3 linked regions of the Drosophila melanogaster genome follow. The gene in region 3 interacts genetically with the main gene of each other region. Each region holds a gene or a part of one and is shown on either strand. Other genes may lie near its edges. The genes, in order: Rpn10, drl and Ube3a.

Region 1 (3,753 bases), about 10 Mb from region 3:
ATATGAATACATTTTAATCTTACTTTAAAGTTAGCTCTAAGATGACTCCCATTGATCAAATTCCGTTTCCAACCATAACGGTTTGCAATATGAACCAGGCTAAAAAGTCGAAAGTAGAGCATTTAATGCCGTAAGTATCATTCAAGTCCCATGGAAACCCAATTATATAATAAACTCTATTAGGGGCTCCATAAGATACGCCATGCTTCAAAAGACCTGCTATAAGGAGTCAAATTTCTCGCAATACATGGATACTCAGCACAGAAATGAAACATTCTCAAATTTCATATTGGATGTTTCCGAGAAGTGTGCAGATCTGATAGTATCCTGCATATTTCATCAACAAAGGATACCCTGCACTGACATCTTTAGAGAAACTTTCGTGGATGAAGGATTGTGCTGCATATTTAATGTCTTGCATCCGTATTATCTTTATAAGTTCAAGTAGGGTTCAACGAAGGTCAAAAGAACGAATAACTTACTTACTCATTTAAAGATCGCCCTACATTCGGGACTTCACTTCGTCCGACAGGTTTGCAGATATCGCCGTGGACTGGGATCCAATATCTGGCTACCCACAGAGACTACCCTCAAGTTACTATCCGCGTCCGGGAGTTGGAGTTGGTACCTCGATGGGTCTGCAAATCGTTCTCAACGGTCACGTGGACGACTATTTCTGCTCCTCCACAAACGGACAGGGCTTTAAGGTAAGTTGTGTTGTACGCTTTTTGCCCAGCTAGCTTATACCTTTCAGATACCTTTCAGATACTCCTGTATAATCCGATAGACCAGCCGCGCATGAAGGAGTCAGGATTACCTGTGATGATTGGGCACCAGACGAGTTTTCGCATCATAGCTAGAAACGTTGAGGCTACACCCTCTATAAGGAATATTCACAGGACGAAACGCCAGTGTATTTTTAGTGACGAACAGGAATTACTCTTCTATCGCTACTATACGCGCCGAAACTGCGAGGCCGAGTGCGACTCCATGTTTTTCCTGAGACTTTGCAGTTGTATTCCCTACTACCTACCACTAATTTATCCCAACGCCTCAGTGTGCGATGTGTTCCACTTTGAATGTCTGAATCGGGCAGAGTCCCAGATCTTCGACCTACAGAGCTCTCAGTGCAAGGAGTTTTGCCTGACCAGCTGCCACGACCTAATTTTCTTTCCCGATGCATTTTCCACTCCATTCAGCCAAAAGGACGTCAAGGCACAGACCAACTACTTGACGAATTTCTCAAGTGAATACATGCGCAAAAACTTGGCGGTAGTAAACTTTTTTCACACCGACAACTATTTCAGGAGCAGTGTAAGGACTTCGTATACCGGACCCACTGAATATATGGGTATGCTATTTATTAAATTTTTTAGATCTTAAATACTTTCTACGTTATTGTTATATCGTTACTAGAACAGTAATTGCAATTCCGATAATATTCCGAGTCTATCAGGGATGCCCGTCCGTCTGATAGTATAAACGTCCATGTTTTTTTTTTTTTAACTCGAGGGGGTATTTTAAGTCGATTAATAAAAACAGTCCATGTAGTGACGATGTTCACCCGGAGTGTAATGCACAATAAGAGAGTGTGTAATGCACAATCTGCTTAAAAAATCCAAATATTACCGTTTATCAGAAGGTATTTTTATGCTCAAAGTTGCATACTTAGGAGTTAATTTATTTGATACAAATCAAATATTACTATTTGTCGTTACATAACGTATGTAACTCGTCACCTCGTAAGGAAATATTTTTGCTTGATTTTGCCTAGTACCATACAAAAGAGCTTCAGGCTTATCCAAAATTGATAAAAACAAATTATACAACTTTTATATAGAGATGGTTTTAGAATTCAAGGCAGTTGACTAAAGCGTTGTATCTTCCTTGTATCTTTTCCAGCGTCAACTGGTGGAATCATGAGCCTAATGATTGGTTTCAGTGTAATATTCCTTGCGGAGATAATATACATCATTTTGTTTGTTTCAACATTGTTGCTTATATTAATATTCTGAATTAGTAAATAAAATAAACAACTTTAAATGTGTTACATAATCTAAATTACTTTTCCACAGGACTAACATTAAATAATGGACTGGTGTAGAAAAATGTAAAAGAATGTACATATGTAAATATAATCAAACAAAAATATCGCACAACGGTCATACAAATCCGATATTTTAATGCCGATAGTTCAGGCAGCACAGCACCTGGCAACCCTGGGGAATTACAGTTCAGTGGCAAAGTGACAAGCAAAAATACGAAAATGGTTCTGGAGAGTACTATGATATGGTAAATTATTGTTTTTTGAGCAATACGAAGAGCTTCCGCTAGTTTTCCCGTACTGCTTGCAACGGCACACAGTCTGGCACTCATATTTTGCTCTTTTCCAGCTTTGATAACAGCGACTTCCAGCGCAACGGAGACTACTTTCCAACTCGTCTCATCGTCCAGAGAGATGGCATCAATCTGGTCTGCCTGACCAAGCTGCGTTCCAATCCCGAGAACAATGTGGGCCTGATGACTCTGTCCAAGTGAGTGTGGAGCGTTTGTGCCCATGCCACATATTCATTATGTCTTTGTTTATACCTCAGCACCGTTGAAGTGCTGGCCACTCTTACTAGCGATGCAGGACGGATTTTCTCAAAGATGCATCTGGTTCAGCCGAAGGGCGAGATAAACCTCCTGACCGGAATCCGAATTGCCCATCTGGTGCTGAAGCATCGCCAAGGCAAGAACCACAAAATGCGCATCGTGGTCTTTGTGGGCTCCCCCATCAATCACGAGGAGGGCGATCTAGTGAAGCAGGCCAAGCGCCTCAAGAAGGAGAAGGTCAACGTAGACATAGTTAGCTTCGGTGATCATGGCAACAACAACGAGATTCTCACAGCATTCATCAACGCGCTTAATGGCAAGGACGGCACCGGCTCCCATTTGGTCAGCGTGCCTCGGGGATCAGTTTTGTCGGATGCCCTGCTGTCGTCACCCATCATTCAGGGCGAGGACGGCATGGGCGGAGCTGGCCTGGGCGGCAACGTCTTCGAATTCGGTGTAGATCCCAACGAGGACCCCGAACTGGCTCTCGCCTTGCGTGTGTCTATGGAGGAGCAACGGCAGCGCCAGGAGAGCGAGCAACGTCGCGCCAATCCCGATGGGGCTCCACCGACTGGCGGAGATGCTGGTGGCGGAGGCGGCGTTTCGGGATCTGGACCTGGAAACGAAGAAAGTGCCGGAGCAGAGAACGAAGCCAACACCGAGGAGGCCATGCTGCAGCGTGCCCTGGCCCTGTCCACCGAAACACCCGAGGACAACTTGCCGGACTTTGCTAACATGACTGAGGAGGAACAGATTGCCTTCGCTATGCAGATGTCCATGCAGGACGCTCCCGACGACTCTGTTACCCAGCAAGCAAAGCGCCCAAAGACGGACGAGGCAAACGCTCCCATGGACGTGGACGAGGATTACTCGGAGGTGATCGGAGACCCGGCCTTCTTGCAGAGCGTGCTGGAGAATCTGCCTGGTGTTGATCCCCAGTCGGAGGCGGTGCGCGATGCTGTCGGTTCACTCAACAAGGACAAGGACAAAAAGAGCGACGGCAAGGACTCGCAAAAAAAATAAACCGCATCTATGATTATATCTAATAAGCTCGTTTAAAGCATTTGTATGCCCATTAAAATCATTTGTAGCCGTCTTTCAAATTATGCTTCAAGTGAAAATATATAAACAAATACACACGATCTGCTGCTGACTTAA
Region 2 (3,753 bases), on a different chromosome or scaffold from region 3:
CGAAACTCCTGACGCCCATCAATCAGCCGGAGGCACAAACACGCGAGTGTTGTAAATTTTACAACATAATTTTTGATAATTTTTCCCTATCAGCTATACAGCTCCCTGCGCCCCCGATCCACAGAACACACTGCCTACAAAACAAACACTTTGCATGTGTTTTATGATGCCACATGGATGTGGCACAACTTGGGCCGCTTCACCCTTTCCTTTTGGCCCATGGATTGAGGCTACTGATTTATTTTTTATATTCACTGGGTTGTAAATTCTTTGTCTGGGCCCTGTGACACATTGTAAAACAATTTTCCCCACTTTTATTAGCTTGGCAATCTCTTCGACAGGATTTGTGTGTGTTTCTTTCTGGCGGGGAATGGCTTGGGTCCAAGAAGACGAGGTTGGGGATGGGGATCGGGGCGAGGTATAAATATAAAAGTAGATTAAAGGTACTTGGGCTGCGGACTCGAGCTATCCCAAGCCGATTTGCTTGGCCAAGTGGAAACCTGGTTATTAGATGGAGATAAACAAATCTGTTTTGATAAGGGCTAAGAATCAGTCACTCGGATTTTTAAGCTTATTAGAGTAGTATTCTTCTATGGAAAATAGTTAGGCTAAATAAATAATATAAACTAAACTAAACTAAATATTTAAATACTCATTTTGGTGTCATTTTTTGACTACATGATTTTACTATTTATTTTCTTTTGAAGACGTTTATAAAATATATCTAAAATTGTTTTGTATTGTTTTAAATTGGATAAACTATGAAAAAATATGATTTTTTAAATAAAAACTTTGATTATAGAGGGATTACTTATCTAGAGATGAATCCACTTGCCAATCGAATTTAATTTAACGCAAAGAAATACAAATTTAAATCGCTTTAGCATTTCTATTTATCTAGATAAGTCTAACGAACAATTAAATCAAAGAAACAGGAAATCATGCTAGACAAATAGAATGTTTTCTTGTTTCTCGGTGAGCTGGCCAATTGAAGGAGGGACAATACTACTTTATATGTAGCTCCGAGGCTAGAAACAATTAAAAGGCATATATTATTTACGCAAAAAGAGTAAATAATCCCAGCAAGTCGCATTCGTTTGCCCAGGAGACAAAATCCCGGCTTGGCATAAATCAAATTTGATTTAAAGTCGAACGAACGCACACAAAGTGGCAAATAATTGCCCAGTTAATTGAAAAGCCAAAAGGCAGGCGAAAATCAACACGATTACTTACCGATTAGGCGCAGCACCTCGTGCAAGTTGAGGAAAATATTGAGATGGGCCTGACCGCTGGCGATCAGGGTCAAAAGTAATCCGATTGTTAGCAAGTTGGGGGCCATCTTTCGGATTCGATTAATCCGCCGGTTGTTTAGTCGCAATAAGAGGAAGAGATAGTTTTAACTGCAGTTCGGCTACTCTGCCGATTTTCTATTTCCCGTTTGGCACTCGCTAAAACGATTTAATTTCCGCTGCACTGCTGTTCACTTTTTGCGCTGCATTTGCAATTTTACGAGCGTCGCGTTGATTTCAATCGCGCTGATTATTACAGGAATTATTTGTCAGAGCATTTGGCACTTTGCCTTCTGGCCGGGAAAACTCAGGCGCACATATTTCCCAATCAGTCTCTGTCTCTGCACCCGTTTTTCCTCGCTTTTCTCGCCGTTCGTCCGCGTTCGTTTTCCGCGTTTGATCCGCTCACCGTGACGATTTTCCACAAACTGTCAACTGGATAAACAAACACTTCGCCACGAAGCGAATGGCTTCCACGCCGAGCGGAGTGGAGTGTGGACTGTGGACTGTGTGTGGCGCTCGTGGACTTGTTCTGTAGAACTTGAAGGCTGGAACCCGTATAACAGTCGTGTTGGAACCTCGAACTCGGTTGCAGTTCGAACATCTCATCGAACATCTCCAATTGGCTAAATACCAAAACTGGCATACTGTTCGATATCCTTTATTAAATTAACTAAACAAACATTCATATAAAGTTTAAAAAATAGACCCACAAACTTCCCAAATGAATTCGAATTAATGATGTAATATAATGATTTTAACCTTTTAACTTTTTTTTATTGTGTTTGATTCAATTTCGAATTAAACTCATGTTGCCAAAAATAAACATTACGACATTTTATACTTTATAAATCGTTAGTTTATTACAGAAAGAGAGACAGAAGCTTGCAGAAGCATAAAATAAATAAGTACAGAATATATAAATACGTACATGATTTTAGGTACATCAATTAACAACATAAATAATTTATAATTACAGACTTGGAATGTGTATCAGTCGTTACACAAATAATAGGAACAGAAAATTAATACTAAAAGCACACAGAAGAACCCTAACAAAAATCAAAGCTGCACGAGAAGAATCTTAACTAATACATTTGACAAATCAAATCTTTGGAATATTTGCAAACTGGCCTTGGCTAAGTACTTGATAATTTGACACAATACTTCATTAGTTACTCTTAACATTAAATTCAAGCCTCCAGTTTCAGCTGATCGATGGAGCTTAGAGTAGTTTCAATAAGCAGATTGTAGTCCAATTCGTTTAGACTGGCCTTCGCAGTCAGCAGGTCCAGAAAGGAGTCCAGTGGCGAAAGGGCTTCGGCAGTTAGATCTGCAAGAATACCAACCAAATTGGTCATTAGAGAGGTGGCTATGGTTAAGTTAGATAACAAGAAACAAAATGTGCAAATGGGACAACGACTGGCGAACACTGAACAGCGTTTCTTACCGGTCAGCGATGGGAATGTTTTCTACCAGATGAGAGGGCGCTGCCTGAACGCATAGCTCGATATGCTCAGGACGACCGTGGTTAGAATGAAAAGCAGAAAAACCAAAAGCAGCGAGTGACAAACAACAGTGTTGGGCTTGCCCAAAGCTGGACGAGATGTGTTCGGGTGAAGAGTGTACAAATGAAAAGTTAACGTGTTTATGGCGGGCTAACCAAGCAAGATCTTACCGCTCCGCGCATTATTTCGCGATTGATTCACGCAGGCCGTGGGTCGCTGCTGGTGCAACACCTCCTGCTGCTGACCCGACAGAATGTTGGCCGCATGCTCGCGTCCGCGGATCATAAGGCTGTCCGGATGCTGCCAGCATTTGAGTAACCTTTGAGCACGCTGCTTGGGCAGAGCAGACAAAAGTGATAGCTTCCGCTCAATGCCCAGTGGAGAATCTTCAATATCTGAAGGAATACATTAAGCAATAATGAAATGAACAGTATATGAAAACAAGTATATATATTTGTTACAAACCGAAAACAATGGCCTTCATCACATCCACTTGCAGTTCGAACACATGATTTTCCACATACTGCAGAAACATATCATAGCCCAGCGCACGATAGCCCAAGTAGGTGAAGAACGAGGAGAAACCCTCGGGCAGGGGAAACGCAATCGATTCCACAGCCAGGCAATAGCGCTCGAGGATTAGAAACAGAGAGTGCTGTTGATTGGCAGCCATTTGGTCACTGCAATCATTACAGACGTGAGTGAAAAGTGATCACATTTGAAATCATCACCAACTCACATCAACTGAAAACCCCTCGAGGTCTCCATGCGCGCATCTAGGCCTGCAGCACGACAAACCAGAGAGCAAAGAGCCCGCGAGAGTTCAAGCTGCGCGGAAACGAACTGGGAGGCCACCGCATGCACATGAGCTGGAGCCTGGGAGCGCTCGAAAAAGGTCTCCTTCAGCCAGCGGAAGCCAGTGTTGGGCTTTGACGTGTGCTTCACCAGGTGAACGC
Region 3 (3,753 bases):
GACGGTCGCTCCAGCTCGCTAGCCAGAATGTTCGCGTAGAAGACAATCTATCACAGAAGAAGTTAACCCAACTGCATTACAAGCCATATTGCATAATAAACCTAACAAATACCTTTAAAACTTTGGTGACACTGATTATGGATTCGTTCTCGCGCATGGATTCCTCGTCCAAAAGCACCTGTAGAGTAATTTGCTGCTGGCAGGCTGCGATCAACGAATGCAGCTGATCTGAACAATGAGCAGCCCAGATCCTGGCCAGGCGCGCCTGTGCCGGCACTGGCATGGCCGACGCCGCTTGGCACAATTTTGGCAGCACCCTGTCCAGATAGTCCATGTCCACCACACTGTTATTGGCTAAAGGGTTATGAGAAAAGCTGTAACTTGAAACATTCCAGGCATACAATTGAAAAACTCACTATTGGTGGCTAGATCAAAGCAGATGACCAGACAGTGAATGACCCTCTCCCAATCCGTACGCATGTAAATCACCCAGTCAGACAGCTGAATAACGCTGCTGGTAAGCTTCTCCGTTATAGCTCGTATTTGACAGCCAAAAAGGAGACGCTGCACTCGTCGCAAACCGGGCAGATCCACCAGTGTGTCGCTGCTTTGGGATGAACACACATCATCGTCCTCTTCTTCGGGCTCCGCCTCTGATTCGACTGATTCTGCAGTAGCAGTAGCATTAGCCGCCGATTCTGATTGTTCGTCCACCTGTTGTGTACTGTCTTCGTCTTTATCGTGTTCCCCTTCCAAAGTTCGTAGCTGCTCCTTGTTTAAAGCCCCCGGTGAATTGGCCAGCAGCTCCTGGAGACTACTAGAAGCCGCTGGTTCTGCGCTGCGAATGAAGCTCTTGCCCAGTCTATCTACGCTGGAGAACACAACGCCGATTGCGTGGCAAATCCTGTCGTAACTGTCAGCCGCCCTACATTGCTCATAGAGCGCTATCAGACTGTTGGCATCCAAGCTGTGGACTGGCGCCAGGGTGGGTGTACACGGTTCCGAGTCGCCGGAGGAGTGTTCAGCGCCGGCGATATCCAGTTGCGGCACACTCTGGGTAAGATATGGACTGGATACGGGCACTACAACGGCAGCTGGCGTTGACTGCGATTGTCTGCTGGTTGTCGTGGTGGTACTGGCTGAGGTAATTGTGCTTGTCGAGCTGCCGCTGCTACTACTGCTACTGTCGTTCGGCGAAAGCATGTCCACGTCCTGGGGGCTAAAATGGGAAAAAATTTAATTGAAAGATAATTACCTATAGAAAATCTTATCGGTGCTCTGGAAACTTTGCTACCCAGTTCCATTTGTTAAGAGAATTCTCACCTGTTGGCCTCCGATGTGAACGCCTCGCAGAGCTGTGCATCCTGTGAAAAGAGCTGCAGTGCTCTGGCGGCCACCTCGTTGGGCGTCATGGGCGCCACCTTGCCGCTGGAGGCGCAATTGGCATTGCTGCAGTTGGCGTTCCCACAGCCGGATTGTAGTTGGTGGAAGTATCGCTTGATTAGGCTGCGCACCGCCGAACGCTTCATTTCGGGCGTGGCTCGCCCGCCCACCGCTCCAGCTGCAGATCCTGATGCACTGATGGGGGGCAAAGAAAATCAGATTTAATATGCCACAACGTAAGTAGCTGAAGTTATTCACCTGGAAACACCTGGCAGATGCTGATCATCCTCGCCACCCCCGCCACCGTTCATCTTCGCTGAAATCTGCGCACTTTACGCCCCCACCGCCGCCGCCCCTTTCTTTGTTTGTCGAAAGTGATTTTGCTCCACTCACAAAACGAAATGGGAGCAAAAAAAAATCGATGTTGATGTCCCTTTTTTGTGTCGCGGCTACCTAAAATTCTTATGCTGAAGCTACTCAGCCGCTGCCGTTGCCTCTGTTGCCCGCTCGTCGAGCGCTGAACGCCGACTTCCTTGCAATCTGATAGCAATCCTTTAAAGCTCGATAATTCGTCAACGTTTTGACAATTTTGACTGTAATAGCGTAAGTGTTTATGAATGAAGCAGGCAGCAACGAATATTGAAAATCATTCTAAACGATGTGCTATCGATGAACTAGTGATATCGACAGCACACCGATAGGCACATTCTTTATCGGACAGTATTGTTAGTCACTGCCGATAGACGTCCGTTGGATGTTTGCACTTTTAAACGTGATTGTGAAACTCCAAGGGATATTATGACTAATACTAATAATAATCGAACTATCGAAAAACTGGTTGCTCGCCAGTGCTGCAAAACACCGGCGGTCTTATCAGCTGTCGACGTATGAAACCAATAACACCGTGTCCGTATTATCGGATCTATCGTTCCTCGAAAAAAAAAGAAAAATAATACGCAGGAAGAAAATACTGGATTCCGTAGCCGGAGCGAATGCAATGAGTTAGTCCGACCAGCCGGAGAAACCAATCCGAGTCGCAAGATGACGGAGCAAGAGGATTTGGCCACCAGCGGAGGTGGCAATGCGACCACTGGCTCTGGAACCAATTGCCAAAACCAACTGCAGCAATGTGTGCGTGGGAATGTCACCTGGGAACTGCTGCCCGTGCACCTGCGATCGGTTCTGCACAACAATCAGCGTGACTACGAGAAGTTCGTCTTTAACTATAGTCTAAAGAATCAGCTGAGGTTCCGGGGCAACCTGGCCGCCAAGGTGTTTCGCCGGGAGCAACGCTACTACGAGCTATTGATACAGAAGAGCATCAATGGATTGGGCGCATTTCCCTACCACCTGGCCGATATCGTCACCAAGGGCTTGAGGGTGACGCCCTTCAACTACTATCTGGATGTTTTGGGTCAGCTTTTGCAAAGCGACAAAAGCTACGATACTTTGCCCAACTTTACAGCAGCCGACTGTCTGCGTGTCTTGGGCATTGGCCGCAACGAGTACCTGGCCCTTATTAGCGATATGAAAACTCACACACCGCGCTCCTTGATCTTCGGGTCGCGGCCCAATCCGCTGGACTTCCTGCCACGCTTTCCGGTGCGCATACACATCGAGCCCTGGTGGCGACTGGACATTGGCTATGTCCTGGAAGCGGATATTCGCTATCTGTCGCCCGCTGAAAGAGGCCTGCTCGATGACTTGATTGACTTTGGAGCCCAGCCGGCTGGGAAATGCGATCACGACGTGGTGCACAGCCTGTACCGGAAGGGTTTGATCTACTTAGATGTGCCCATTAGCGGGGAGGACAGGATATCCATACCGCCGCTGCGCAACTTTGTGATGAATCGTGTGAGCGGGGACTACTTTGAGAATCTGCTGTACAAGATCTTCGTTAGCGCGGATGAGCACATGACCATTGCCGAGTTGGCACAGATGCTGCAACTGGAACTGGATAGCGTTAAGCAGGCCATATCGTTTATCTGCCGTCTGGGTTTCGCACATCGCAAAGAAGATCTGGTCAATCAGACGAATCATTCCAGCTGGGAGGGATACAACCAGCAGCAAACGCCAGATACGCCGCAGATCACACCGCTGAACTACAATTTGCATACCAGTAGCAGCTTCGAATTCGACCAAAGTCCCAAATCGCCAAAGACACCCAAGGAAAGGGAGAAGGACAAGGATAAGGACAGCAGTTCCATAGGCTACCTCTCCTCGGATGGCAACACGAGTGACTTCAGCTTTGCCAACCTGAATACGACACCCCAGGAGAGAGTGAACAACAGCGATGAGCAGGAACTGAGTTCCGAGCTGGAGCAAGAGGATATGTGTGCCCCAAAGCAGGCTGCTCCATCGGCTGCAATA

The links.
Region 1: of Ube3a (region 3) and Rpn10, changing one suppresses a phenotype caused by changing the other (phenotypic suppression), as found in Drosophila melanogaster (one study listed by BioGRID).
Region 2: of Ube3a (region 3) and drl, changing one suppresses a phenotype caused by changing the other (phenotypic suppression), as found in Drosophila melanogaster (one study listed by BioGRID).

The regions. Positions count from the first base shown.
Region 1 is NT_037436.4:21,534,847-21,538,599, forward strand, and holds Rpn10 (regulatory particle non-ATPase 10), read left to right. Parts: upstream 1-2,153; 5' UTR 2,154-2,266; coding exon 2,267-2,292; intron 2,293-2,393; coding exon 2,394-2,534; intron 2,535-2,594; coding exon 2,595-3,618; 3' UTR 3,619-3,736; downstream 3,737-3,753. Other genes in the region: ppk5 (pickpocket 5), read left to right, coding at 31-130, 184-444, 497-707, 766-1,351, 1,903-2,015. UniProt on the Drosophila melanogaster protein: Binds and presumably selects ubiquitin-conjugates for destruction.
Region 2 is NT_033779.5:19,188,315-19,192,067, reverse strand, and holds the start of drl (derailed), read right to left. Parts: upstream 1,727-3,753; 5' UTR 1,340-1,726; coding exon 1,234-1,339; intron 1-1,233. Other genes in the region: pigeon, read right to left, coding at 2,483-2,622, 2,968-3,192, 3,263-3,477, 3,537-3,753. UniProt on the Drosophila melanogaster protein: Probable coreceptor of Wnt proteins. Involved in neuronal pathway recognition and ventral muscle attachment site selection. Non-vital for development. May be part of a signal transduction cascade involved in learning and possibly memory.
Region 3 is NT_037436.4:11,208,513-11,212,265, forward strand, and holds the start of Ube3a (ubiquitin protein ligase E3A), read right to left. Parts: upstream 2,072-3,753; 5' UTR 1,695-2,071; coding exon 1,642-1,694; intron 1,579-1,641; coding exon 1,324-1,578; intron 1,220-1,323; coding exon 417-1,219; intron 355-416; coding exon 113-354; intron 48-112; coding exon 1-47. Other genes in the region: CG7600 (uncharacterized protein), read left to right, coding at 2,425-3,753.